Linked DNA regions of Oryzias latipes. The protein of the gene in region 1 purifies or fractionates together with the protein of each later gene. This does not show direct contact. Links are inferred from orthologs where the notes say so. Each region holds a gene or a part of one and is shown in the gene's direction. Other genes may lie near its edges. The genes, in order: cdk19, med9, med21, med31, med7, med8 and med18.

Region 1 (4,464 bases):
CGGAAACAACAACTAGTTACGTTAAGGAACGACGACGTAGCATAGCAACGAGGCCGCGCATGTGGTCCGGAGGCTAACGACCAAACCACTGACTGACGGAGAAGACAAACCTTGGGATAGAGCGGAGGTCCCCGGTGCCCTTAGTGTCATCCTGGCGGCAGAACCAGACCTCCAGCAGCTTCTCGGTCCCCTCGAAGAAATGTGCACCGTTATCCTGATCCTCCATCATCATGATGAGACAACAGACACCTCAATAGTCTGTCAAACCTTGGTAGTATGGTTTACAGCTTAAAATGGTCGTTCCTTGGTTCGCTTTAACTTATTGAGGTACAGTATTTTAACAATCTGGTTGTTTGCTTGTCTTGAGTTACCGTCTTCCCTGTAGCAGAGAACAACGTAAGCGAGCGCTAGCTAATATCGCCGGCCATACTGTGTAGAGCACTGAGGAAGCGGCGCGCGGTGATTTTATACAACGACGCCGTTACGTCAGCGGTGCGCTGAGCCACTCTCCTGGTGAGGTTTTATTTACTCCTTTATGATTGGTCCAGGGATCTGTCACTCATGACTCAAACACTGTGACGTAATAGACACGTTCGTTTATTCTTTAAACTTGTTTAGGTCTAAAGAAAACTTGTAAAAGTCTAAAGTATAATTAAAAAGCTGTCTTTTTTCTATCAATACTTATTTTGTACTAATTTACTTGGGTGGATGATTGATTGTTTTTTTTTAAATATACAAGCAAATACATAAATACATTTACTTACAATTTTGGAGCTCAAAGATTAATTTTCTCCACGAATATAAAAAAAAAAATAATGAAAAGACAGTATCTACTCTATCTTTTATAGAAAACAATAGTAACAGGTCAAAATATTTGAGGTTCCCCCCTCATTTGAATCCTTTATCCAGTAAAATTATGATCACATAGGCTATAACGTATAAATGCAATATAAAAATTAGTATGCATTTGCTTTGTTAAGAGATATACATACAGTTGTTTTCATTATAGTAGTTTCTTTAAACAGGTTTTTTTTACTCACTGAGAAAGTTAGATTTTAACAACAATAATTTTGATAATTTTTTTTTTACTTACGGAGAAAGTTAGATTTTAACAACAACAGTATTTATAATCAAATAATTATTACATCATAATTAATACTTTTTAAAATCTTTTTTCTCTTATTAAAATGAATACTGCAACTACTATTAGTGGTAAAACAAGTTTTAAGGAAATAATATTTTCAATTAATGGCTGATGTTTCAGACAAAAATTTCCATAAAGTCAAACAGCAGAGGAACATTTTTGAAGAAAGTTCTTTAGTACGCAAAGTGCAACAAACCGCATCAAGAAACGCGGGTAGTAGTTTATTTTCCTTCTCTTTACTGTTTCCTCAATGGTGTCAACGTCCCATTGGAACTACACTACCCATCTGGCAACACGCGCCAATTAGAAACGTCAACGAGCCAGTGAACATTAAGCGGAGCAGACCAAAATCCCAAACAAGGAAATGGTGGGGGAATAAAACGACCAGATTATTTAATGAATGCATGTAATAATTAATATTTTATTTTTTTGTAAATTAAGACGTATTTATGGGTTGAAATGGATTACGACTTCAAAACAAAGCTGGCAGCGGAGAGGGAGAGAGTGGAAGATCTTTTCGAATATGAAGGTTGCAAAGTGGGTCGAGGCACCTACGGGCACGTTTATAAAGCTAAGCGCAAAGACGGGTAAGAAGATAACCGTGAACGTTCTTGTTTTGTTCCGAAGTCTCATATCGACCGCTCGCTGCTGCTCGCGGTCTCAGATCTCACTAACGGGCCGCGCGGCTCGGTAGGTTCGAAACCCACCAAGGCAAAAACCTCTGTGTTTTTGTTTTCATGGAACGCACGCGCGCACTCACTCACTCACCCACCAACGCCCCCTCCCCACGATTACACTCATTCACACATACACATAACATACAAATGCGCGCGAATACCCCCCCCCCCTCTAAACTAAGTCCCAGACGAAATGTTAAAACAACGCGGCTGTTGTTGTTGTTTTTTTTATCGAGGGGGGGGGGGGGGGAGTTCACGCGGACGCAGGTCGACGTGACCGCGTTGCGCCTCGCGGCTTTTTTAGGCAGCAGCTTTGGCTCTAGTAGAGACGTCAAACTTTAGTAATAGTTTGTCACGTGTGTACCTCCAGCAACACCTTTGTTGTTAGATCAAAGGAGCAGGAGGAAGACTCAGATGCTCCCATGACTGCTGTTTCATAGACCCTCTGTGGGACTTTGAAACAGCAGGCATGAAGGCTCGGAGTTTAAAACAGAAGCTGTGGGTTTTTGTTTGAAGGTGGAGTTCATCAGTCTGTGGTCAGTCAGAGGTGATCTTCATGATGTTGCTTTTAAAATTTGCAGTTTTGTAGGAAATCGGTACAGATTTGTTAGAACTTTATGCTGTTTTGTATTTTGAACTTTTTTTTCTGCAGCTTGATAGGGCTGCATGGTTAGCACTCTTGGCGTGCAGTTCCTGGTATGAATCCTGGCTGGGACCTTTTTGTATGAAATTTGCATGTTTTTCTTGTGTGTGTGTGGGTTTCTTCCAGGAACTCATCTTTCCTCCCACAGTCCAAAAATACAATCAAGGGTTAATTGGTGACTCAAAATTGTCCCTAGATGTGAGTTTGTCTCGTTGTGTGGTCCTGTGACAGACTGGTGATCTGTCCAGATCTTGTCTGTAAATGAGAACTGGACCGACATCACCCATACAAAATGGCTTGCTTCTGGTTCCACTAAATGAAGTCAATTCAGTTGCCTTTTTTTTTTTTGCAATATGCATGTTGCTATGTTGGTAAGCAGTGATTGATCTGAGTAAATGTTTCTATGGCAACAACTTTCGCTAATCAGGAGTGAACTTGTTGAAAGTCCACACCTTTATCAACTGAAAGCGTGCCTAGGAGAATCTGTCAATGAAACGCTTCAAACGTTCCGTGTTAGACCACATACTTTTATTGAGGCATCAGATTGGTCATTAATGTGAATAGCTTGCACTACAGAAAAAATATGGGAAAATAAATTAGGATTAGCAAGAACATGTTAAAAAGGGTAGCAGAGCTAGAATGTTTATTCGGACCTATAGAACGACTGAGTAATATCTGTTTATTATTCAATAGAAGTCTGTGGGATTTGGGCTGCTAGGAACCAGCAGGTACTTCCTATTTAGAATGTGATGGGAGAGGGATTACCCAGTCCAGTTGTCATGTGCAGTCAATGGGCCAATTCGCCCAATAGCAGCTGGGATGGGCCCTAGTAACCCCATTACCCCAACAGGTATTCAGCAGATTTGGATGATGGATGGATGCGTGAGGTGGACACAAAAGGACCGTTTGGGCCTCAGAATGTCATACCGTCAAGAAAAGCTCACAACCTTGAAAGCAGACTGACCTTATCAGATGTTGTGGCTAAAGAGTCATCTCTGGTTCCCATGACGACAGAAGGGTCACAAGAATTATTGTTCTGTTTCATAAAACAGCTGTGAATGTTTGTAACACACACATATTTTATAAATCAAGTAGATATTGATCTTACCCTGTAAAGTTCAGAAACCGGTCAACGATAAAAACAATAAAAGCTCCAGTTAAAAAAATCTCCTGTTTTGAAATCCAAATGTTGTCTCTTTCTTCCTTTTTCAACCATGGAAAACAAAAGACAGAACCCTACGGTTAGGTTCTGAAATACTCCTTGTGGGACCTACTGCTTGAGTTGATTCAGAATCTCTGTATATTCATGTTTTCATAGGGACGAAGGGAACATTGGACGATTCTTGGAATGGGGTTTGTTTCAGTGGATCGTCCATTGTGTTGATGAGCTGGAGGTTCTTTTAAATGGATCAGGAGGTCAAACTTGTTTTATTGTTCACGCTTCGCTTTCCTTCCCAGACTTTCTTTGGGGAGACACTGTGTGAAGTGTGAAAGCAGCCTTAAATGTTTACATGTAGGATGAAAGTGGTATGGAACTGGACGTCTTGACTGGGTTTGAGTTTTTTTCGTCATCTGGGATGGTCAGATCAGCGCTGCTGATTCAGCCACATACCTACACGATGAGTTTCACAACACTCCATTGTGACTCTGGCTCATCTGCCGGTACGGTCAATGAAAAACAACTTGTACAGAGTTAATAAAGCACTCCAACCATTTCAGTTAAGACATTTAAATATGAGTTTGTTTTTCCCTCCTTAATGCAATTGATGAATCTCACTCATTGCTTTATTTACCATACCTCAAGTCTTGATATTTCAACGTACGTGAAAGACAGGATATTGGGTACAATGGCTCTACAAAACATTTGAGTGGAAATTGGGTCTTGGTGTTGATGCCTTTATTACGAGTTATTTTGTAGGAAAAATAAATGTACACTGCTACACAAACTGAACCCTGATTACTTCTCATTGTTTCACAGAGTCATTTCCACAGTGGTGTCC
Region 2 (3,104 bases), on another chromosome or scaffold:
CATTCTTTGTCACACCTCTGGGTAAAAGCCTCACACTTAATTTAATGCTCACTGCCTGTGTCACGTTGGCATTCTATCTTCTCCAGGGGAGACTGAGTTTTTCCCTTTCTGTGTTCACCAGGTGTGAGTAATGAACTCATGGGATGTTCGCTGCATCAAGAGGTCAAACTTGATTTCATGTGAAATGGATGTAAACATGAGTTATTTGGGCTAAAAAGAATACATTTAAAAATAAAACACATAATTCAACATCAAACAGGAGAATCGTCATTGCTACACATGCATAATCGTGTAGTCACTTGTACTAACAAAGAATTGAGCAAATTAGCCATTTTAATTCTCCGTGTTGCCTAATGTATTGCCAAACAGGGCTTTAGAAAATAACCAGGAAGTAAGCTTTTCATTATTTTGTTTTATTTTCTACATACTAAATATTGTATCCCCAATCAACAAGGACGCACTGTGTAAACAGAAAAGGAAAAAGGGTTTCCAGACAGAGATGCACGACCTGAATGAAACACTTCATTTATCTTCCAAACAGACAAATTGCGTGACGCACCGTGAGACTATATTTGTGCTTGCTATGAGCTCTAGTGTTTACACAGCTCCCCATTTTTCAGTTCTCAAGCATGTCTTGTGTTGACTTTCGATGTCAGTACTTCAGGTTACCAAGTAGCAAGACGTGTAGCCAAGGTCATTCCAAGTCCTAGGTCATGTGTTTATTATGTGCATTGACAAATGGTCTGTGACCTCCATCCATCCATCCATCCATCTTACTCTGCTTTACCGGGACTGGGTCACGGGGGCAGTCTAAGCAAAGATGCCCAGACTTCCCTCGCCCCTGCTACTTCCTCCAGCTCTTCTGGGAGGGACCCCAAGGTGTTCCCAGGCCAGCCGAGAGACGTAGTTTCTCCAGCGTGTCCTGGGTCTTCCCCGGGGCCTCCGCATAGTGGGACATGCCCGCAACACCTCCCCAGAGAGGCGTACAGGAGGCACCCGGACTTGATGCCCGAGCAACCTTGGAATAGGTCTGGGACCTATTCTGAGCAAAATGATGACATGCCACGAGAATTGCAAGGGCTTTATCAGAAAGAAATCAGTCCCAAATCTTTTAGATCTTTTTTCTTGTGTTTGAAATTTATTACAGCAAATTTTTCTTTGTTATTTCTTGTTTTGTGTCAAGACTTTTTAATAGTTTGGGAATCATACCATGACTTATATGACTTACCATCTCAAGGTAATCATTTTTTTCATACTTTTGATAACTAGAGTATTCATTCATTCATTCATTCATTCATTTATTCATTCAATCAATCATTCACTCATTCATCTATAATCATTGTTGTTGTTGTTGTTGTTCAACATCAATTGAACTTTTTTAAAGTTGTGATTTCAGTTGAGATTCTCGGAGTAACCTGTGACGTCATCAGCCTGCGCCAGTTGCAGAAGGAGTAGCAATGGCGGTAGCTCAGGCTAAGCTCGTGAAGGAGACCGAAGACTGCTCTTTGCTGCCCTTAGTTCACGACATTATCAAATGGTAAGCTGTTTCCTGTGTGCTGGGTTTACGTATATGTTGGTATTTACTAAATGGTTCACGGTAAACTCTCGTTGGGGGTATTTACGGTTTGCTATATGAGAAGTGACGTGAACGCTTCCCATCATGGGTGCAGTTTTGCCTTTAATAGAAGTCTGTTATTTATGTATTTATTTATTTATTTATGTTTCTGCTTAGCATGGATAAGGACAGCCCGGATGTCAACCAGGAGCTGACAAAACTAAAAACAAAGATCCAAGAAACCCGGGAGCAGATCTCTAACATGTCTGGGATAGACTGCAGTCCGCCGGAGCAGCAGCAGCAGCTGGCCACGCTGCGGGAGCAGGTCCGCACCAAGAACCAGCTGCTGCAGAAGTACAAGGGACTGTGCATGTTTGATGTGCCTAAGGCGTCGTGAGACAACAGACTACAAACTGGAGACTTGAGCAAAGACGTTTATTTCTACGGTTTACCATTTAAAAAAAAACCTGAAATGAAAAATGGGACTTTTGTTTTTCTTTTTTGTTTGCATCAGTGTGAATGATCTGCTCTGTTTCTGAAGTATCTGTTATTATTTCAAGTTGTAAATCTCTATTTTTAATAAATTAAATCGTGCTATAGTGTTTTACTTGTTTTCATTATTATTATTATTATTATTATTATTAATAATAAATGTATAAGGGCTTTGATGCTTTATTGAGCAGACCATTTAGTCTGAATCTAAAAGGTTTTTAAATAAAGGAAAGCATTTGCCACGGCACACACTTTCACATAACTTTATGTAGTTCCTTTTCACAACATGCAAAGTAAATCTAATTTAATGTGAATCAGCATTTTTCTCTAAACAAAGTTTGATTTTAATCATAAATGATATTGTCTCTAATGGGCCAAATATTACATCTGTTGATATCTACTAAATAGCCTCTAATTATATGTGCTGCACTGCCTCCTAGTCTAATTGTTTTCCTTCTCTGTTATTGTGCCATGGTTATCATTTGTGCAAACAATGGAGTCCTAATGAATAATTATTCAGGCTGTTAGCTCTTTTTATATATAAGTCCATTTAATTTCAGAATGTCTCAATAAATGATGTGTTATAAACATGTATTTTCATTCGAACAGCAGAATGAAAACGTATATATAATTCTTAAAGTGTTTGTTTTATGCGAGAAATTGGAGAGTGGGACTGAGAACAGACTATGAAAGTATCAAGTTTTTTATTTTTTATTTTCTCTTTATGCAAAAGTGGACAAGGACATAATAAATATACACATGGAGTTCATTTGTTCATTCTGCAGCAAACATTCAAGTTTGAAAAAAAGGCAACATGTAAACTTGGTTTTCACCTTCTAGTGCTGCGCATAGAAAGCAAAATGTAGAAACAGATTTACAGCATTTTCAGAGCATCGATTTCACTACATGTCTTGGCTCATATTGGACAAGAGTGCCTAAAGTTTGTCGCAGACGCGCTGCGCATAGTCACATGGGGACAAAGTTTTTTGCGCTCGTAGAAATGGTCAGCAAATTACGCAGCCCTTTTCTTTGGCGTGGCCGCCGCCGATGGCTTTCT
Region 3 (4,438 bases), on another chromosome or scaffold:
AAGAAATGTGAAAACTTAAGAAGAAAAAAAACATCGAGTTCAAGTCTGTAAGTAATATAACAAATTGGGCAATTTCCTTCATAAAACTGTTTTACTCTTTTGCTTTCTGTTTGTTCAGTTTTAGTGAGATAAAAACCTAATTACTGTGGTGAGTAATGAACATCTGGAAGTAAAGAGTAGTAGATCCCTGCATTTTTCATTTACTTACACATTAGCGTTAAGATACTCAGCGTCTTACAGATTTAAGATGGAAAGTTAAATGATAGAAAGTGATGTAAACAGTACAAAAAGCAGGGAAATTGGTTTTAAGCAGATTACTTTTTAGTTACAATACTTATCTTAAATCTTTGTTTAGAGTTTAAGGGAATACGTAGCTCCGTTTATGAAATGCACCCATCATGACTGGTTGAACATTCGCTGCTAAGCATCTAATTTTGCCAATGTCGTGTTTGGGTAATTCAGGTTTAAAAACACACTAAATATTTATTTTAGCAGAATTCGATGTATAACTTCTACATCAAGATTTCCTCCAGTAATAACGAGCAGGAGATGCTGCCCCATACCATCACACTGCCACCACCAAACAATGTAACTTTACCGGGTATGACCCTCCTGCTCACCCACTAAAGCAGGATGTTAACGAATGTGTCACAGTTTAAAAGGGGAAAAAAGAGGATGTCGAACTGCAGGAGATTTATGATCATGAAATATACTTTCTTATGACAAAAAAATTAAGCAAGCAGAAACAAACAGCTAATTATGTCTTTGCTTACGTAGTAGTAAAGTAGTTACAACTAACGAAGCTGCTCTCTAAATCCTGACAAATTTTCCAACAAAACATACAAACGTACCTCATAAACAGTGTACCAAAGCATGTAAAGGTGTCTTAATTTAACACTGAAGTGGTCTTACCTGAAGAGTTCAAAGTGCAACCAGAAAATAGATCTTCTTCCTGATATTTTATGTTGTAGCTCAGAATAGCAACATCATGCTTATGCTAACACGAATATCGGATTATACGTTAAACTTAAACTTTGTTTCTTTAAGACATAAAAAAATATACTAAAGTACAAAAAATGAATTTCGCAAAAGTCTCTATGGTATTCAAGTCTAAAATAACAGGTTTAAGGTTGTTGACGGGCTAACTTTCTTTAGCTATCTTGTCTTCCGAAATGACGTCAATTTCTGCGAGATTTTGTCAATGCTCTCGCGATAGTTGACGACGGACTTTTGTCAAATACAGGTAAATATGGCGGACCGGCTAACGCAACTACAAGATGCTGTCAACTCGGTAAAATAAAAATGTTAAATATTTGACAAAAATTGTGATATAGAAAGACTGTCACATATACATTTAAATATGAAATGTGCATTATATATAGGTTTTAATGGAAGTTGTTTCCTAATTTATTTACTGAGGGCGTAACATCACAGCAGCTAACAATGCTAATGCTAACTTAATAAATAGCATTACTTACTTGGTGTTTGCTGAAGCTGTTTGCCAAAATGCTGAAGTAGATTGGAATTAAAGTTGAAGACGCATGAAAGGAAGTGGAAATTATTTAAAAAGGTACCCAAACCAGGAAGTTACCCTATAAATTGTTCGTTTTGAGACTTATCCTAATCCTGCCGGTCAAAATATGCTGTCAAACAAAGTTAGAGTCCCATTTGTTCTTAGCATGCTAGCCATCCTTTAGTGTAGCTCTATCAGGAAACTCCTGAAAGCACTAAGCAGCTTGTTTGCTCATTTAGCTGGAATATTATAGGAATCATGATGTGTGGTGGTACAGGCCAACCGTTCTGTTATTGTTTAGGTCAGCCGGATGACATTTCTTACTAGCATATGGACTAAAGATATACATATGTATATAACATATGACAATATTGAACTTCAGGCACTCCAACCCCTACACTTAATCTTCATGACATTTCGAAATAAATGCCTGAAGGGCATAATACATATGATTACATGAAGAAGGAGCAAAAACCTAAAAATATTCTAACTTACAAGAAGTGTACTACTTCATAATTCTCTTTTCTCTATGAAAGATTTTAACCGTCTTAAATAAAACCAAAATCTTGCTGAAAATGCTTGAAATATTTGCATACAGCCAGATAAAGAATAATGGAAGACAATTATACCAAAAATGTTTTTAAAATGAAATGTTTAATATAATATCCATTCATTTCCAATGAGTAGAATTTCCTGCTGTGCTTTGTTATAATCCAAGCTTGATTGTTTTGACCTTTCTGTCTGTGTTTCAAACATAAAATGAATCTATTCGGGATGTGTGGTGCAGGTCGGCTTCAGCTCGGTCTGAACTGTGTGTTCTGCTTTTGCGTGGGCAGCTTGCAGATCAGTTTTGTAACGCCATCGGTGTTTTGCAACAATTTGCTCCCCCTGCGTCCTTCAGCAACATCCAGACCGCTATCAACAAGGACCAGCCGGCCAACCCCACTGAAGGTTAGTCTGACGCCGACTGTCTCTAAAGACCCACTGGGTCGCCGCCTGCTCTTCACCTTCAGTCCTCGGTTTACAGTTTCAATTCTGAATTTTCACTTTCGGAGTACAGCCTCATTTTACGTTGGGGTGGGCCTTCGATGCCGTTGGATATTGGGACATGATTGATATCAGGGGCTAGACGGGTCATTCTCTGAATTCGGTGCACATTGGTAATTGAAAATCTTACCTAAAAAATGTGTGTTTCTTAACATTACATCAGATTAAGGACTATTTAAACCTCTGAGAAAAGATGTTTTCCCACTTTAGACATGAAATCCCCCAAATTGTTAGAAAGTTTGTCACTGTGACAGTGTGTTTTGTTACGGAGTAGAATATTACGAGGTTGAAGTTGTCACGTGTCTACATTAGCTAGGATATGAAGCTACATATGGCATGAGGAAAACAAGAATTTAATACATATTTCAAAGCAATCGTTAGCTTTTTCCCAAACAATAGTAAATATCATTTATTAATTTAACAGAGTTGAAAGGTTGAGCTTGACAAAGTCAATCTGACAACAGAAACTATGAAATATGGGTAAGAAAGGAGGCTAATACTTACCTGTCTTCAGAGTATGAGCAGGAAAATATTCAGTGATGTCACTTCCTGGCTGCTGAAGAAGTTGGACTGAACTATTATTTTTTTTTAAAGGGGGATTGATAGGCTGTTACGGGTTGAACAAAACTGAGGGACAGGAATAAACGGTGAAATTTCATAAAGATTCATTTATTTTTGTCATACTTCTTTTATTTAAGTGAAACTAAATAGGCATATGTTTATGTTAGCAGAAAAAGCATGTAGTTAGTGGCTGTTTTTATCAGTTTTGCATTAGCTGAAAAGGTAACTTTGGCTTCGTTCATACTGCAGGCTGAAACGACCCAATTCTGATTTTCTTCCCCCATGCGACCTGTATCTGATCTTTTCATGACAGTCTGAACGACACAGATCCCATCTTTTCAAATGTGAACCAGGCCACTTGGGTATGTGGTCCTGAATCCAATACGTATCCGATCTTTTCAAATGCGACCTCCGTCTGAACGGCCAGGCCACATGAATCCGACCCGTACCTCATTGATACGTTCTCAAACGTCATAATTCTGCGTTGAAGTAGGCGGAACCAGAAGATAAACATCAACCATGGCGGACGATGCTGCTGAGACCAGTCAGTGGAAGGGAAGCGAGGTCACCGATTGGATTCATATTTGGGGTGACAGCTCCATTCAGGCCAAACTCCAGGGCTCTTATCGCAACCGGGCAGTTTTTGAAAATATTTCCAGCAAAATGGCCGAGCGTGGTGTTGAACCTTTCCCACCTGACTTTTTTTTCTTTCCGACTGTGGTCGGAAGCAGGGGGGGGGGATCTTCTCCAGGGCTGAAGGAAGATCCTCCTCCGGAATTAACTTCCCCGTTCGGACCCTCAGATTCTCCAGAGCGGGTTAATAAAGAGTCAATTATAGCATTTATTCTGGGGGAAGCCTTCTTTTATTATCGTTCTCCTTCCTCTGTAACACACAACATGAATGCACGCACCCGACACACTTCCGCTGCCCCCCCCCCCCCCATCCCCCCCCCCACACACACACACTCCCTCCGGCGCTCTACGCGCTCTCTCCTCTCTCTTATTACACACACAGTGCCTTCTTAAAATGATAAGATTGTAATTGTGCTGGCTCCTTTGTGAAAATAAATTTAATACTGCCAAAAGAGCTCCTCTGTTGACAACACTGTTGTTGACATCCATTGTTAGCGTTAACTACTTCTGCAAACGACGCGTGTCGTCGTTCACCGTTGAGAACTCTTCTGCGCATGCGGGTCACTTCTGGGTCATTTCATGTTCACACAGGAGATCACAAAAGTTCGCATTTAATTGGAAATGTGAACGGCCTTGCAAAAAAAACAGATTTTTTCAAAAAATCGTAATTGAGCATTAAACCCT
Region 4 (2,697 bases), on another chromosome or scaffold:
TGTGTCAGTAGCAAGTGAAACAACCTTAAAGTCGGCTCTTTGGTGTGAAAGACACGACCCGGATCCTTCCTGGGAGTTGTTTTTTTTTTTAAAGTATTAATTCAGCCTTTCTTACTTTATTGTTAACTGTAAGCTACACATGACTGTGTCTCTGGTCAATATGAGATGGCGCTCGATGCACTCCGTAAAGGGGGGGGGGGTAGCTCAGGGGATTCACAGCTGTGAAGGACTTTGCACAAAACACAGACGTAGATAGAGAAAGGTGCAACTCATTGTAATGGAACTTAAAGTCAGCAGAAATGAACATGGAGGCATTAAATAGTTCTTTGTGTTTTCAGATTTGATAGATTGGAATAACAGGTTCATCTGACCTTGAGCAGTGTCACAGACCACATGTGCTGTAACTTATTTCTGTCTCATTTTTCACACTGTTGTCTGAGTTCAAAGGAAACCAGGATTTGTCTTGAACCAGCTTCATACTTTGAATGGTCATGTTTTTAAAAATAAAGTTGAACGACAGGCAGGAGGATCTTTTCAGTGCTGTTTTTCCCTTGATTTATAAATGAGGGAAACAAAGTAAAGTAACGTAGTGAATTTTTTAAATCGGTAATGAGTATATTAACTTAATTACAATTTTGATCCAGTAACTAAGTAATGTAATCAATGACTTTTCAGAAGTAATTTACCCGACACTGCTGTAGATATACTTCACATGAATGCAGTTTGTTTTCATAGGCAGGTTTGTACTTTTGCAGAGAAGTTAATTTGATTTGGTCAATCAAAAAAAAAAAACAGAAGAGAGAGAGGGCCTGTCATCTCTAGTGACCACGAGGGCGTGGAAGGGCCGCTCCACGGTCAGGATCAGTAATTGAGGGGGGGTTAGATTCTTCTGAAGGAAAGCGAGCAGATGGATAACGGCGATCGTCTCTGGAATCATCGCTCCAACTAGTCCACTCACACTTCCAGGAGCCTTGTCATCCAACAGGACGCCAGGTTCCTGTCCCGCTCTGGCATCACCTCAAGATCTGTTACACCAGGGGGCGCCATTCTATCACTGCAGGCTTTCTCCATAGATCTTCATAGGAAATAGTTCTCTGCACGAATGTTGTAAAGCATGTTTATTGTGAAGCCTGAGCAGCCTCACCTGCGTCTCAGGCTCAATCTCTGACCCGTTTGTCTGCAGTTCTGGCTCAGAGGGGCTTCCTGAAGGAGCGACCCTTCATCAACTACCTGAAGTACCTGCTGTACTGGAAGGAGCCAGAGTACTCCAAGTTCCTGAAGTAAGGCGCCGTTTTTTTCCTTCTCCACTCTGAACACTGGACAGTCTGCGGGTCCTTTGGCCTGCAGGTTTCTGACCGTGTCTTTGGCGCCCCCTGCAGGTACCCCCACTGCCTGCACATGCTGGAGCTGCTGCAGTACGAGCACTTCAGGAAGGAGCAGGTCAACGCTCAGTGCGCCAAGTTCATTGATGAGCAGCAGCTGCTGCACTGGCAGCATTACTCCCGCAAGCGCACGCGGCTGCAGCAGGCGCTGGCTGAGCAGCAGCAGGCGCAGCAGCCGCCACAGCCGCACGGCAACGCCGCAGCTAAGTGAGAATGGAGAGGAGGAGCTTCAGGTGACGCCCAAGAAAATCTTTTTCTTCATCATAACGTTCTCTCAGATGAGGCTGTGATGGATGGAAGCCGCAGCAGAGCTTCCTGAGAGCTGGACAGACTGTTCCTGGATCAGACTGCAGTCAGGATCCAACCTGGAACATTATCACGAACATTAATGTGAAATATTCATCCACAAGATTGTTTTTTGCAAAAATAAACGTTTTTTTTGTCTGTTCTACTTCCTGTTGTGCACATAAATATTTTTTCACACTTAATATTGGAGATGTAATAAATAATCAACGTTAGTCAGTGAATCAATTTATATTCCTAGATCCAAAAAGATAGTTTCAATATAAAATAATTTAAAAACTAACGAAAAAAATTATATCAAAATGTGAAAATACCATTTGGATTGAGGTTTATTTTACTATAACTGTTAAATATATGAGAACTGGACTGAGTGACCCTTCCCCACTGGTTTTACAAACAGGAAGTACCCGTTAGTTCTAAGAAGCCCAAATCCCATAGATTTCTATGGAGAAATAAACCACGCTTACTCAGTCATTCTATTGGTCAGAATAAACACGCTTGCTCTGATACCTTTTTCTTGCTAGTCTTAACTTAATTAATTATTCAAGACCAAGTGCATCACAGCCAAAAACACGTGATGTCAGCAAAAACTGATCAACCATCATCCACTTTGAATTTAGAAAGTCATGTGACCACACAGAGTGCTAGAATGTTCTAAGAATGTTCCCTTTGGATGTGGAAAAACAACAGTGGATTGAACTTTACTAAAATGTTTAAACCAAAATGTGAATGGATTTGACTTTCCTTCTTGTTTACTTGTTTGTTTGTACACATTTAATTTACACTTAATTATCTTGAAGGAATCAGAAACACTTCACCTGCACTGTTCAATAGCAGGTATTTCTTTCTGAGTGACACTGGTTAAAGTTTTGAATAAAGATGTCCTGGATCCATTTTAGGTCAGTGAGCCGGATCAATTAAAATCAGTCAATCATTCCTACTTGACATAAATCATTGTTTAGCTTCTAGCTAATCTTACTTTAGTCTAACCTAAACAGAAGGTTCATTCATT
Region 5 (4,609 bases), on another chromosome or scaffold:
TAATTACACGGTGACGTTCTCTTCTTTTGCTGAGATTTTTTGATCATGGTTCCCTTCAAAATCACCCGAGGAAACATGGTTAGCAGTTGAGAATAACACCACTGGAGACACTGGGTGGTATTGGACGGAGTAACTGAAAGCCTCTGACTGCAGGGGGGAAAAAAAAGGGAGAATGCAAACATTGAAGATGCCGAAGAGTTTCCGGCGTGGGTTAGTTGCATGCAGTAAACCACATCCTTGTGGCAACACTCTGTGCAAGCAATCACACACTGATGTGCACACAAATACACACACGTATCATCACGTATGTTGTGTTAAACTCAATAAAGGTTTTTTTTTTAACATGAACCTTTGATGTACTATTGATCAAATTTTGCATAAAAATGTAAGCTTTTTGTCAGAATTGCTTGGTTGTTAAACAAAAATGTTTTAGAAAACAATTTAAATTTTCATATTAAATCAAAAGCTAAAAACAAAAATAACACTGTTAATCAATACCTAAGAAGCCATAGCTGGGGTTTTTTTTCGGAATTTTTAAATTTTCTTTTTTCTTCATTTAAAAGAAACTCTCCGCTTGTATCAAAATTGTAGTAAAAAAGTACTACTGAAGGAAAACTTAAAAATGAAAAAAATGCAATTTTTAAAAATGTAAAATGCATGATAAGTTATATCCTACAAACACTAAGAATGTCAAGGTTTCATGAATCACTAAATGCAGAAAACAGCAAAAGAGAAAAGTCTGGTTTCTAAGAAAAATGTATCCAAATACAATATGGAACCTTTGATGTACTTTTCATGAGGCTATGTTTTCTTTGGGGTTAGAAAGATTCTTATTTTTCTTTTCAATTTTGGTTCAAATACGATGTTCTTGTTTTGTTTTGCACACTCCGAAGCACAACCTTTGCCCTCTGCTAAATATTCACTAGGCCTATGACAACGTTTATAAAATAAAATGTTACATGTCATTCTTATTTAGTGTCAGGGTCAAGATGAAGTCAGCTTACTTATAATAGTTTGACCATTTTTATTTAAGTGTAAAAAAAAGAAAAAGAATGAATATTAGGTGTTGCTAATTGACTAAGTAGAAAATGAAACATAAAATTCAAAGTTAGACACTTTCACCTGCCCTACTGTATTTAGGGCGTAAAAACAAATGATAGATACATTTTTAAAATTAGAGTCCCCCTCCCCCCCCTTTTTTATGGTTACAGATCTGAACTTTTTTTGCTTGGGTTTGATTTCTTAAGCAGCTTATTTTAAGAACATATTTTAAGATTTATAGGCCTACCAGGATCAGAACCTGAACTCACTATATTAAACAAACAAAAACTAACAAAAAGTTTAAAACAATTAATACAGGAAAGAGATTAGTTTTGAATAAAACCCACTAATTATAAGGTTAATAATGAAATACTTTAAAGGCTTGTCGACGCAACCAATCAACGTCGAGTTTGTTTCCGGGTCACTGTCCAATCCTGGCATCTGAAACTCAACCGGGAAATGAATAAAGCGAAGCTAGTCAGGAGCTAACTGGCTAGAAGAATTTTCATCTAAACTCAACCAATTGAGTCGTTAAACAGGTTTGTACAATAATCAGTTATAAATGTAACCCTTTTATTCGTGTTACAGACCTGTTTCTTTGACTGTAGAGACTGTATTATTCAGCAGATGCAGGAAACGACGTTTGTTGTTAGCCAAACATCAACGGAGCGGTTTTATTAATTAGGTTTTTGTAATAACTTTTACTGTTAGTTAGTATATACGTGGGCTTTTATGTGGTATCTAAATGCACTACGGCGGAATAATTCGAGATTTGTTACGTTAGGTTTGACTTTGACATAGTTCTCAAAATGAATCGTGATGATCATGTGTGTGTCTGTTGTCGACTTGTCCGCCTTCTTACTTAGAAAACAGGTTTAGCTATGTGATGTGTGAACATTATCTGTTGTTGTACTTCTTGTGAGCACGTGTAAAATCCTAAAAAAAACGCGTGGGAAAAAATACTTTTATTGGTTGGAGCGGTTAACGACTCGTTTGGCTACGGTAAACTCTGATCGTGGCAATCTTCAAGTTAAAACATGCACCGACCATATGACATATCCTTCTCTGATTTGAATGTTGTTTTCTTTCCTTCAATAACAATGATACAAAGTGTTGAAAACAGACATCAACAAATATGCATTTTGTAAAAGCTGTGTTTTTTTTAATGTATAGAATGTGCATGTATGCACTTCTCTTTACTAAAATCCACAATTTGACTTGTTTTTGACCCTCATTTGTTCTCTTCTTACATCAGGATGGCTTTTCTTTAAACATTTTTTTAAACTCTGCAGTTTTTTTTTTATTTATTTTTTAATTTTGAATATAAAATCTACTAATTCAGTTGTATTTGCTAAATTGATAGCAGAACAATTATAAGGTTATGTGCACAACAAATAAGCATTTTGAAAAAATGGTGTTAAATCACACAGAAAAAAATCATATTCTTTAACAAGTACAATCTGATAGGGGGGATAGTGATAGATAATATAAATTTAAACATGTTTCAATTGAATAAAAACTGTTTTCTTATAGATAAAGGAATTATAATAATTTGGATTTTTAGTTACCGGTAAGTAGCACAGACAATTTGTTTCAATTAAAAAAACATGAGGATGTAAAGAAGTTTAGGAATCAATCAAAAATCTGTTTAATTGTCCCACAGGTAACTATAATGCAATGGAAGCTGTCACATCTTTATGCCATTTTCCACAGCATTTAGAAATGGCTTTATTGATTAATTATTTTTGGTATTGTAAAACTGATTATGGAAACCTGTATAAGTCTTTTCTCACAATTTTAAAAAAATGTTTCACTTAAAAATTCCTCTACATTTTCTTTAATCTTTTGAAAAATATATTGTAAAACAATGTATTATTGAATAAGTATCTGTAACAGAAACTATAGTAAACCGTGTTAAAATAATTATAACGTTTGTGGATGCATATACAAAACTAGTAATATTAGGCTAAGTGTCAACATTGTACATCTGTTCCTGTGTCTGTTGGTTAATCTGCATTTAATACTTATCTACTCTAACCTAAAAACATGTATATGTTTAAGCTCCACAGATGCATGTTCTTCTTGGTTGTCGCTCTTGCCTCACAGCAAGAAGGCCCCCAGTTCAAGTCCCAGCTGGGGGACCTGAAACAGAATCACCACTGGGGGACCTTTCTCTGTGGCGTTTGCGTGATCCCCTGGTTTTTCTCCAGGGACTCCAGCTCCCTCCCACCGTCCAAAAACAAGCTTCATAAGTTAATTGGTTACTAAATTCTCCCTAGGTGTGAGTGTGCATGGGTGTGTGAACGTGGCTCTGCTACAGACTGGCGAACTGTCCATGATGTCCCCTGCCTTTGCTGAGATAGGCTCCGGCAGCCCCGTGACCCTGAAAGGGACAAAAACGGGTTTAGAAAATGAATAAATAAGGATATTTTTTCTTGAAAGTTATTATTTTGGCACATTAAAAAGGCATAGTTTTGACAAAGTGCTATCATGACTGTGACTTTACTGACTGGAGAAAGCGTTTATGCAAGAGGTAGCTGATGCCATCACCCAGAACATATGAGGGGGTCATTAAAGATTGTTTTACTTCATATAAGTGAGACCCGTGAACTCGCCACAACAGTGGGATCTTATCAGGTGCATGACTGTGTATTTGTTGTTTGGATTCTTTCTAACTTGTAGTTCTATTTATTTTATAATTTTTAGGTCTGCAAAATGGGTGAACCACAGCAGGTCAGCGCACTGCCTCCACCGCCCATGCAGTACATCAAGGAGTATACAGATGAAAACATTCGCAAAGGTCTGGTGCCAAAGCCGCCTCCGCCCATCAGAGACAGCTACATGATGTTTGGCAATCAGTTTCAGTGCGACGACCTTATTATTCGGCCTCTGGAGAGCCAAGGCATCGAGAGGCTGCATCCTATGCAGTTTGACCACAAACGGGAGCTCAAGAAGCTGAACATGTCCATTCTCGTAAACTTTCTGGACCTTTTAGACATCCTTATCAAAAGTCCTGGTAATATTAAACGCGAAGAGAAGATGGAGGACATAAAGCTTTTGTTTGTTCACATGCATCATCTGATCAACGAGTACAGGCCGCACCAAGCCAGGGAGACTCTGAGGGTGATGATGGAGGTGCAGAAGAGGCAGAGGTTGGAGACGGCGGAGAGATTCCAAAAACACCTGGAGAGAGTCGTGGAGATGATCCAAGGGTGTCTTGCTTCTGCGCCTGACGACCTGCTGCAGATGGAGATTCCAGACGTTTCTGAAGGGCCAAAGGGTGCGTCCGGAGCAGCTGCTGCCCCCTGTTCGTCTGGGCAGCCCCCTCGGCTGAAAATGGAACCTATGGATGTTGAGGAAGCGGGGGGCAGCTGTATGGTTGCAGGAAACCAGGAGAAAAATATCCCTTCTTCAAAAAGGGACAAAATATGGGACAAAGACGCTGCCATGTGTAGTATAATTGATGAATTAGCTTAGCTGTATGTTTTTCTTCTCTCTTTTATAACCAGAAATCGTTTGATTGCTCTCTGTTTGACTAATTGCAGTGTTTTCACAAGAACAGGAAGTC
Region 6 (4,593 bases), on another chromosome or scaffold:
CGACATGACCTGCGTGAAGGAGGAGATCTTCGGCCCGGTCATGTCTGTCCTGCCGTTCGACACCGAAGAGGAGGTGATCCGGCGGGCCAACAACACCACCTTTGGACTGGCCTCTGGGGTTTTCACCAGGTCAGCAGAGAGCTGCAGACTGCGATAACGTTTGCTTTTAAGATAAAACTGCTTTATTGCATTTTCTGACCCTATTGCTGTCAAAGATTAACACTCCACAGTCTCTGGTAAGGTCTCACCTGAACTCTGTTCTTCGTCTGCAGAGACATTTCTCGAGCTCATCGTGTGGCTGCAAGTCTGGAGGCGGGGACCTGCTTCATCAACAATTACAACATCAGCCCAGTGGAGGTGCCATTTGGAGGGTATAAGATGTCAGGTGGGGTCTTGTAAAAAAAACAAAAAAAAACAAGAGGCTTCTTGAGGAAAAATGGTGAAACCGAGTTCTTGATCTGTGCAGGCTTTGGCAGAGAGAACGGCCAGGTGACCATCGAGTACTACTCCCAGCTGAAGACGGTGGTGGTGGAAACAGGCGATGTGGAAAACTACTTCTAGAGTTTCCGTTTTACACTCATTTCAGAGCAATAAACGAAACTGTGCAGACCTGTTGAATGTGGATGTCCTATTTGAACTTTTCTGGAGTGTCTTTTATTAACTCTTAAGTGTGTATGAACAGCTGGCATGATTCTTCAGGCTAATTTATTTTGTCACGTTGGACATTTGCTCATGCAAACATTATCTGAACTCTGATCCTGAAGTAAAAATAGCAGTTGCATATAGAGTTTACACTGCTAGAAACATTGATCCATCTTCTAAACCACCTTTATTCATGTATATAAAAAAAAAGTATGCTGGGTGTCCTAGAGCCCACCCAGCTACTGAAAGGCAAAGGTGGGATACACCCTGGGCAGTTCACCAGACCACTGCTGGGTCAAATGGTGTTAGGATTCAGTCTAAGAGACACTTTTGAGGTCTTAGGTCAGAGAGCTCTTCTCCAAGGTTGCACCAAACAATCAGGTCTCTGTTTTTATAAGGCTTGTATTTTAGTCTGATGCCTGGACCGGTGAATGTTAATAATAAAGCCGAACTAAATAGATAATGTTGATGACTCATAAACTTGAAAAGAACTGATTTTGTAATGGTTGGCCAAGATTCTGGGACATTTGGAGCTTCCACTAAAGATAACCAGAACAATATACAGCTTGTTACAGAAGACCCATGATCACACACAGAAACAAAAACACTAAACATATCATTTGTTTTTAATAAATACCAGGAAGACTAAATTGTTTCTGCTCTGAGCTTTTATCTCTGTCTCCCTGTAAGCTGCACCTTCTCTGTGCTTCCTTCACAACTGTCTGCAGGACTCATCCTCTGATTCTGCTCTCAGCTCTTCAATTTCACTTTGGTTGCTGCAATTTCTCATTTTTTTTTAGTCAACACCATCGTTGATTCTCTATTTTAAAAAAGTCAGTATAGACTGGATTAATGACTCTGACGGGACAGTTCTAGTACATTATTTTGGCCTGGAACAGAGAATTTGGACGAAAGAAAACAATATTAAAGGGTGCAAAACCCTCAGAAACAAATATTTATTGAACAATAAATAAAAAAAGAAAAGAAAAAAACAAGAGGATGGGTGGTATGGGTACCTGCTGTAGCCACAAGGGAGCACAAACACACCGTCAGATTTGACCAGAGAAGAAGAAGCATCTCTTTTTTTTGGAAAGCGCAAAGCGGAAGTACAACCTAGAAGACTTCCGGGTCGCTGACAGATCAACAATGCAAGTGAGTCTGAAATAATTTCACTCGGTTGTCTGTGATTCTTCTGACCTACTGTGGACGATACTTTGGACTGATGCTAGCTCGGGCGCTGTGTAATCTGTCCGGGCCTCTCTGCTCGTCCTTTTTGTGTTTCAGCAGCGGGAGGAGAAGCAGCTGGAGACGGCGGTGGAGTCTCTCATCTCCCGGGTGGCTCACGTTAAAAACGCCCTGAGCAGCTTCATCTACAAGCTGGAGAATGAGTACGAACGTCTGACATGGTGGGTCCTCCTGCCCTTATGACGTAACGTATCCCCCCTCCTTTGATTATGATAAATAAAAGCCTGGAAACATGCGAAGTTAACAAGTGAGTGCATATCGTGCGTGTGCATGTGTGCGCGAGCGCACTTAGACTATAAATCTTTGTTGATCCCACAAAAGGGGAAATTACCTTGTTGTTGCCATAGCTCCAATAAAACATCAGATATATATTAATAACACTAAAAATACACTTAAACAATTAACAGCAATCATTTTTGTCCAATGTCTATAAGGCATTGCAGAGTCTAATAGCTGACGGGAAGAAAGATCTGGGAAAGTGCTCCTTCCTGCAACAAGGTGTAAAGGAGCTGCTCAGTACACCCATACAAAGGATGATGATGATGATGAAGAAGAGGAGTGTCCATGATGGAGTTCAGTTTCTGTAACATTTTACTCTCACCCACCACAGTTACCGATTCTAGGAGACATCCCAGAACGTAGCCGGATCTCCGCTCCAGTTTGTTGATCCTCTTCTTGTTCCTGTTTGTGCATTCACACCTCCAGCAGCTCAAACCATAGAAGAGGGCAGACGCAACAATGCCATCATTAAAAAGAGTCCTGAAAACTCAGGAGAACCCCAGTCTCCTCAGTATCTCCTGCGATCTGGGATTGCTTCTCCAGCGGCATGTTGTTGTTGCCAAGCAACAACAGCTGACCGTGTAGACGATGTACCCACAGACCGCTTCAGACCCAGAAAGTGGGGGATAAATAGTCCAAAGGACTAGCAGGCACGCCACTGCACTTGTGTAAAAAACAACAATTCTGTCAAAAAACAGAATAATAATTAGAGAAAAAAAAAAACGAAACTAAAGAAAAACAAGCAAGCCAACACAGATCTATGGTAACTGCCAGCTTGTTGTAGCATTGGTGTCTGTATTTGCGTGCGTGTATTTGTACGTGTGCATGCGTCTTTTAGAAAGTGTTTGTGTCTCCATGTTTACCTGCAAAAGTTTTCTCACCCCCCTCTCAAATCTTTCCTGTCCCTCAGGCCATCTGTTTTGGACAACTTTGCTCTCCTCTCGGGTCAGCTGAACACCATCAACAAGCTGCTGAGGAACGAGAAGACCCCAGCTTTCCGGAGTCAGGTCATCATCCCGCTGCTCCTGTCTCCTGACCGGGATGAGGATTTAGCTGTGAGTGTCGCCGCAACATTTGCAGGCTGTCCTGTGTGGTGAAAGACCTCTAACTATCCTGTCCACCCCCACACCCCCCTCAGAAACTCACAGAGCAACGCGTCCCGGTGTTCAGTCACGAGATTGTGCCAGATCACTTGAGGACCAAGCCTGACCCCGAGGTGGAAGAGCAGGAGAAGCAGCTGAGTGCAGAGGCGGTCAGGATTGGTCCTGAGTTGGCTCAGGTCAGGAGGCGCATGGATGTTTGTTATCTGTTGTCTGTGCTCAGAAGGTGTTTAGTGTTTGTCTGTGCTAATCCACAGAAGCATATCCAGGCTCTGAACAAGCTGTGTTCCAACCTTCTGGAGAAGCTGAACAACCCTCGAGAGGACAGAGAGGGAGATGCTTCTGGTGGGTCGCTCGTTTGTGTAAATCCCTTGTTGTCCTTATTGTAGAAAGAGCTGAGTGTGTTTATCTTCCAGCAGTGCGGCAGAACAAAGCGTCCTTCAACCCCACAGACACCAGTGCCTTGGTAGCAGCTGTGGCTTTTGGGAAGGGACTCTCCAAGTGTAGACCTCCTGGCCCTGTGGCCCCTGGCCACCCAGGGCAGGGGCCCATGATGAGCGGAGGTCCAACGTTACAGCAGGTCACTATTGGTGGCGGGTCAAACCAGCAAGCAGGTATGGGAGGGCCTGGGGCCCCCCAGCAGCAAGGTCAGCCAGGTAGGAAACTGTACTGGTAAAATGTATTAAGTTTTTTGTATTGGAGACACATTTTTATTTCTTTATTTTTGTCCAGGAAAAATGCCAAGCAGCATCAAGACAAACATCAAGTCTGCATCGGGTTCCATTCACCCTTACAACCGGTGATCTCCCCCGCCCGCCTCTTTACTGCTCAGATGCAGGAACATCAGTCTGTTACTGGGTCCACCTTCACGTCCCCCTTTGAAGCTCTCTATACAGCCACTAGGTGGCAGCATGGGATCCTTTATGGCTAAATCTTAACAGCACAATGACATGTTTTCAATAAAACCCAGAAAAGCAGCTTGGTTTGTGTGGCCTTTATTATACAAGTGTCTTTCTCTTGTTTCTGCACTGAAACGACGTGAAAAAACCTGAGCTCCGCTCTTCTGAGTCTGTGTTGCAGCGCTGAGCCTGATGGGGGTGGACGTTGTGTCACAACTTTTAAGGGAGAACGCGAGGAACTATTGCTGTTGACAATGGTGGTGGTGGGGGTTTTATTCCTGTCTGAGTGTTGGCCCTCTGTCTGCTCTGATCCTGTCTGGCTGTATGACCTACATCCACCCTCCGTTCCTTAACTCAGAGTTGAACAAAGACACATTTGTGCTCACAAACAAACCTGAACAAAAGACCGATATGGGAGACACAAAGTC
Region 7 (4,537 bases), on another chromosome or scaffold:
ACTCTTTCTTTTGCTTTCTTTGGGGTGCAAATTCTGAGGTTTTTACTTTCAGAGTTTTAATGAGCCTGAGGTTTTAACAGCTCCATCACACCTTTTCTATGTTCACCCTCTAGCATTTCCTTTGCTTTGCACTTGCTGTGTTTTCAGAAGACGGACAAGTGTGAGTAATAATCCTTTACATTTTCCACAAATCATAAAGTGACTAATCATTTACTAATCATTTTCCACTAATCATTATTTCTTTATTTGCAGGTGGAAGAAGAACCCTCCATTGTTTATTCCTTAATTGCCTTTAGAACCCCTGCAAAGACCAATGGCCGTGAATTAGCCCACAATGAAACCATTTACAGTGAAATAAAATTCACAAAAAGCAGTTTGGATAGGTTGAGCAGGTAATTGTTGCGATATTTTAGCAGTTCTGAAGTTGCCTTAACATGGATTCTGTTTTGTGAGTTGAAGTAAACTTCACCCTACAAGGTCCAAAATGGAAACCCTTAGAAGGGTTTTTTCCATTGTGTCAGAAAATGAATAACTGCTTGCTAATTATCTTTATGAAATATAGCATTGCTTTGTGTCTGTACCTGATACTGTCAGCAAGTGCTTTGAAAACAGAAAACAAGTTCCTTTAAATTATTCTGAACCATTATTTTTTCTGACACAAATTTTGTTAAATATTTTTTCTTTAAAGGCTTCGGAATCCGTCAAAACACAGTTTTTATATCTTTATTATTTTATGTGTAAAATATGCATCTGATGGAATGTTTGTCATTTACTTTAAAAGGTTAAGCACAAATCTTAAAAAAGTTTGTGAACCTCAATCAGCCAAAAACTATAGCAGCATGTCTGAATTTTAAATGTTTTATTCAATGTTTTAAAAAGAAAATATTTAACAAAAACTAATTGTAAAAATATTGTAATTGTTGTGAAGACAGCATCTGAGTTTTAAAAAAAAGGCCCACAGAGCTAGGCTTTTATTTTTTTATGTGCCAGCAATTACTATTACAACATTTTCGGTATGAAATCTACATATATATTTTTATTATTTTTAAATATGTGCAAGGTTTTCAAATACATTTAGTTACTTATCTGCACTGATAATAGTTTCAATTTTTAGAGCACGTTTTGGTTTGTGAGTGTTTTTGTAAATCAAATGACTTGAAGTTGATTTTTAAAAAAATGTTATTTATGGATTGTATTTTTAAAGTAACCCCTGTTTGGGTTACTGTAATTGATCCTTTTTCTACATTGCTAAAATTTAAGTTCAATAAGTGTATTCAACGTGTACTTATTGTTTTATCATTTGCCTAAATACCTGTTTGCGCGGAAAAAGCTAACACAGAAAGTTGCTTCCATGAATGGTTATATTCCGGGGTTTCAGTAGGTGGCAGTAACGAGCTTTAAACTGGATTGAAAGCGCCTTTTAAAAACAAAAGCCAAGGAAGAACTTGGGCGCCTTTGTTTTCTGATTAGCATCAAATTTTGGTTGTTTTTAGAACGGGTTACAATATATATTTCATTAACACTTTTTTTATTTTTTAAGTTAAGTACGAATGCCTTAAATTACTTTGTTGATGACAGTAACAGCTCAAATCGTGAGTTGGTAATTCCATGTAGGCTAACTGTTAACTGGTACTAGCAGCCGTGTGGATATTAGCTAACCGGTGAAACAGGGGGCCCACCGTGGAAACCAACCACAAACAGCAAAAATATCTTAACTTTAGTCAGTTCTAACGCTGCGCCGAACTCTTTATTCTGCTCAGGTAAACCATCTTACTCTGTAGTGAGAAACGTCTACTGCTTTTGCTAGTTAGCATAAGCCTGCTATTGGTAGTTGTATTTGTTCGCTAATTTAGCTAACAACTGTTTTCTGTTTACTCATTCATTCATTGGTAATGTCACTCACATGTATCATCAAACAACTGCAAATGAAATAGAGTAGTCCAACAACACTTTGCAAAAAGTAGCCTATTTAGTTTACTACATGTATAATTGGCTAGTGGGACGATATACTTGAAGTAAACTTTTAAACACAATCTAGTATTGCTAAATTCAAAACATAAAATGTTCCAATTTAGTCTGAAGAAGTTTTCAGTCAGTTAATACTTCTTTCACAATATACACATGGTCTATCGTACACTTGTACTTATTCTCACGTGTCCTCAATGAAATAAACTTCAAGTGTAGTACTTTTTGCTAAGTGAATGACAATGCCATCATTCACTATTACTTTAAATCAGGAAGAAGATGGAAGCTCCTCCTGTCACAGTTATGCCCGTCACCGGCGGTGCCATCAACATGATGGAATATCTGTTACAAGGTGAGACGATTCAGATATAGAAGGTTCAACCAGAGATATAGAGGCTTGATATATTTACAGATAAAACGGTGTATTTTTCCAGAATACATATATTAGAAGCCAGTATGAAGTTCACTGGCTAAATTATTTGAAAAATAATGTTTACATCTTCATTCTGTTGCTAAAACCAACTTCTATCCATTAATATTAGTCTTTAAAAAAAAACTATTAAGTTGAGCTAATTATTTTTCCATCATGAGTGTTGGTGTAGCATTAAAGAGCAAACCACACTGTCAAGAGTGTGGAAAGAGTGCTCAGTTACTTTCTGTCTTGAAAATAATATATATTTCTAAGGTTTTCCTGTCCTGTTTGTGCTGCACTTTACTGGACACATTTGTATTTAGTAAACTGAAGTATTTAAGATTATATAGATGCATAAAGATTTATGGAAAAATAATCCTCAAGTCAGGAAAGCTTTTTTTAAATTTTTTTATTCATGAAACCTGTTATTCATGTTTTCATCACATCTGAAGTGTTTATTGAAACTGTGTTTGTAAAAAAAAGAGATCTAAAACGAACACTAATTTTAACATTGAACATTTTTTAATTTCATGATGGAGGATTATATGTTTAATATTCATTTTTAAAAAGTTGTATCACAGCAGGAAATAATTATAGTGGGAGTAAAGAACTTACTATATGAGTCTTTAAAGGATATTCTATTTTCTCGTTTTTTTCAGGCAGTGTTTTGGATCAGGCTCTGGAAAGCCTCCTGCATCGCCTGCGTGGTCTCTGTGACAACATGGAACCAGAGACTTTCACCGACCACGAGCTGGTTTACCTTTTGAAAGGCCAGCAAGGCAACCCCTTCATTCTGCGTGCCAGACGCTCCCTCTCCCACCCTACTTCTCCATGGCACCTGCGGTATCTAGGCCAGCCAGAAGTGGGAGACAAGAGCCGCCATGCTCTGGTTCGCAACTGTGTCGATGTAGCTGCCTCTCAAAGCCTTCCGGAGTTCCTCAATGAGATGGGCTTTCGCATGGACCATGAGTTTGTGGCCAGTGGTCACATATTTCGCAAAGGAGCAATGAAAGTTGTGGTTAGCAAGGTTTCACGCATCCTAGTACCAGGGAACACGGAAAATACAGAGCGAATGTCGCTGTCGTATTTAGTGGAACTGAGCATTTTGGCTCCGGCCGGACAGGACACCGTGTCAGAAGACATGCGCAGCTTTGCCGAGCAGCTCAAACCTCTGATTCATCTGGAGAAGATTGACCCAAGCAAGCAGAGACATTAAGCATTAATGGAAAAAAATGTTTTTGTTATTGTTTTCCTTTCCATTTAAATGCTTTTTAATGTGATGAAATACAGATTTACTTTGCTTAAACTGTTACAGTTGTGGTTAATCTGACCTGTCAGAGTATTTTTTTAATTTATTTTTTACTTTTTGTGCCTACTATAAAGAAAATATTATAGTAACAAATAGCTGGAAAATACTTAAATATATTTTAAGTTGACAAACATTTTGCAATGCCTCAGATGGCTTATGTTATTGCTTTAAAAATTTTTTTTTAAATCTTCAATTTCATTTTTTTATATAATAAATGTCCACCAGGGGTCTCTCTTTCCACAAGGATGGTCTTAATTGGAGCAAAGTGAACGCTACCTCTCATCATCTACAGGAGCTCTGGTTGCCATGGAAATAATTAGCTGTGCGATCTGCACATCGTTTACCCCACTCTAATTAGCTTTCTCAATTGCTTAATGATACATAGACCTGTGAAAGCCTTTCTTTCTTCCTTTCCACAAAAGCATTGATTTTCCCTCTCTTCCCCTTTCATTTCTACTGTTAACCCATTAGTATCCTTTCTTTTTTTCATGGGAACTTGAGCTGGGACTATTACAAGTGAAAGCACTATGGTTGCCTTAGGTCCTTCATTGCTCATGTTGAAATTGGAAAAAGGGGGTTGTATATTAGTGTGTCAACATGGCCAAGCTACTGCAGAGGCGGAAGTAACTAATGCACATCCTGTCAGTTATGATAATAATGTTGGCAAAAAGACAAGATTGTTTCTAATAATACCCTTGCAGGAAGATGCATTTGCTGGAGTTGAGATGTAGAGTGACCATGTGCATGTCTGAGCGGACAGCTCCGGGGCTGATGCCTGTCTCTGCATGTTGACCTACCTGCATTTCAAGGCTGATGAGGACAAGCTCACTGAGGTGGAAAGGTGAGGTGGC

The links.
Region 2: the proteins of cdk19 (region 1) and med9 purify together in Homo sapiens (affinity purification with mass spectrometry; 7 studies listed by BioGRID and IntAct, counting the BioPlex papers as one, with this or other methods). This does not show direct contact. The link is inferred for Oryzias latipes from reciprocal best matches to the Homo sapiens genes CDK19 and MED9.
Region 3: the proteins of cdk19 (region 1) and med21 purify together in Homo sapiens (affinity purification with mass spectrometry; 6 studies listed by BioGRID and IntAct, counting the BioPlex papers as one, with this or other methods). This does not show direct contact. The link is inferred for Oryzias latipes from reciprocal best matches to the Homo sapiens genes CDK19 and MED21.
Region 4: the proteins of cdk19 (region 1) and med31 purify together in Homo sapiens (affinity purification with mass spectrometry; 6 studies listed by BioGRID and IntAct, counting the BioPlex papers as one, with this or other methods). This does not show direct contact. The link is inferred for Oryzias latipes from reciprocal best matches to the Homo sapiens genes CDK19 and MED31.
Region 5: the proteins of cdk19 (region 1) and med7 purify together in Homo sapiens (affinity purification with mass spectrometry; 5 studies listed by BioGRID and IntAct, counting the BioPlex papers as one, with this or other methods). This does not show direct contact. The link is inferred for Oryzias latipes from reciprocal best matches to the Homo sapiens genes CDK19 and MED7.
Region 6: the proteins of cdk19 (region 1) and med8 purify together in Homo sapiens (affinity purification with mass spectrometry; 6 studies listed by BioGRID and IntAct, counting the BioPlex papers as one, with this or other methods). This does not show direct contact. The link is inferred for Oryzias latipes from reciprocal best matches to the Homo sapiens genes CDK19 and MED8.
Region 7: the proteins of cdk19 (region 1) and med18 purify together in Homo sapiens (affinity purification with mass spectrometry; 5 studies listed by BioGRID and IntAct, counting the BioPlex papers as one, with this or other methods). This does not show direct contact. The link is inferred for Oryzias latipes from reciprocal best matches to the Homo sapiens genes CDK19 and MED18.

Annotation. Positions count from the first base shown.
Region 1 is NC_019882.2:10,351,760-10,356,223, forward strand, and holds the start of cdk19 (cyclin-dependent kinase 19), read left to right. Parts: upstream 1-1,235; 5' UTR 1,236-1,508; coding exon 1,509-1,511; exon of another isoform or gene 1,512-1,585; coding exon 1,586-1,731; intron 1,732-4,464. Other genes in the region: amd1 (S-adenosylmethionine decarboxylase proenzyme), read right to left, coding at 111-232.
Region 2 is NC_019866.2:10,874,949-10,878,052, forward strand, and holds med9 (mediator of RNA polymerase II transcription subunit 9), read left to right. Parts: upstream 1-1,405; 5' UTR 1,406-1,457; coding exon 1,458-1,537; intron 1,538-1,732; coding exon 1,733-1,952; 3' UTR 1,953-2,157; downstream 2,158-3,104. Other genes in the region: rasd1 (dexamethasone-induced Ras-related protein 1), read right to left, coding at 3,052-3,104.
Region 3 is NC_019881.2:3,908,539-3,912,976, reverse strand, and holds the start of med21 (mediator of RNA polymerase II transcription subunit 21), read left to right. Parts: upstream 1-1,226; 5' UTR 1,227-1,249; coding exon 1,250-1,291; intron 1,292-2,349; coding exon 2,350-2,464; intron 2,465-4,438. UniProt on the Homo sapiens protein: Component of the Mediator complex, a coactivator involved in the regulated transcription of nearly all RNA polymerase II-dependent genes.
Region 4 is NC_019872.2:23,706,643-23,709,339, forward strand, and holds the end of med31 (mediator of RNA polymerase II transcription subunit 31), read left to right. Parts: intron 1-1,183; coding exon 1,184-1,280; intron 1,281-1,379; coding exon 1,380-1,593; 3' UTR 1,594-1,833; downstream 1,834-2,697. UniProt on the Homo sapiens protein: Component of the Mediator complex, a coactivator involved in the regulated transcription of nearly all RNA polymerase II-dependent genes.
Region 5 is NC_019868.2:21,185,561-21,190,169, reverse strand, and holds the start of med7 (mediator of RNA polymerase II transcription subunit 7), read left to right. Parts: upstream 1-1,464; 5' UTR 1,465-1,580; intron 1,581-3,747; 5' UTR 3,748-3,756; coding exon 3,757-4,518; 3' UTR 4,519-4,609. Other genes in the region: itk (tyrosine-protein kinase ITK/TSK), read right to left, coding at 1-77. UniProt on the Homo sapiens protein: Component of the Mediator complex, a coactivator involved in the regulated transcription of nearly all RNA polymerase II-dependent genes.
Region 6 is NC_019862.2:24,740,574-24,745,166, forward strand, and holds med8 (mediator of RNA polymerase II transcription subunit 8), read left to right. Parts: upstream 1-1,695; 5' UTR 1,696-1,788; coding exon 1,789-1,794; intron 1,795-1,926; coding exon 1,927-2,048; intron 2,049-3,076; coding exon 3,077-3,221; intron 3,222-3,304; coding exon 3,305-3,445; intron 3,446-3,523; coding exon 3,524-3,611; intron 3,612-3,682; coding exon 3,683-3,922; intron 3,923-3,998; coding exon 3,999-4,069; 3' UTR 4,070-4,243; downstream 4,244-4,593. UniProt on the Homo sapiens protein: Component of the Mediator complex, a coactivator involved in the regulated transcription of nearly all RNA polymerase II-dependent genes.
Region 7 is NC_019874.2:22,763,861-22,768,397, reverse strand, and holds med18 (mediator of RNA polymerase II transcription subunit 18), read left to right. Parts: upstream 1-1,403; 5' UTR 1,404-1,760; intron 1,761-2,237; 5' UTR 2,238-2,244; coding exon 2,245-2,317; intron 2,318-3,036; coding exon 3,037-3,593; 3' UTR 3,594-3,702; downstream 3,703-4,537. UniProt on the Homo sapiens protein: Component of the Mediator complex, a coactivator involved in the regulated transcription of nearly all RNA polymerase II-dependent genes.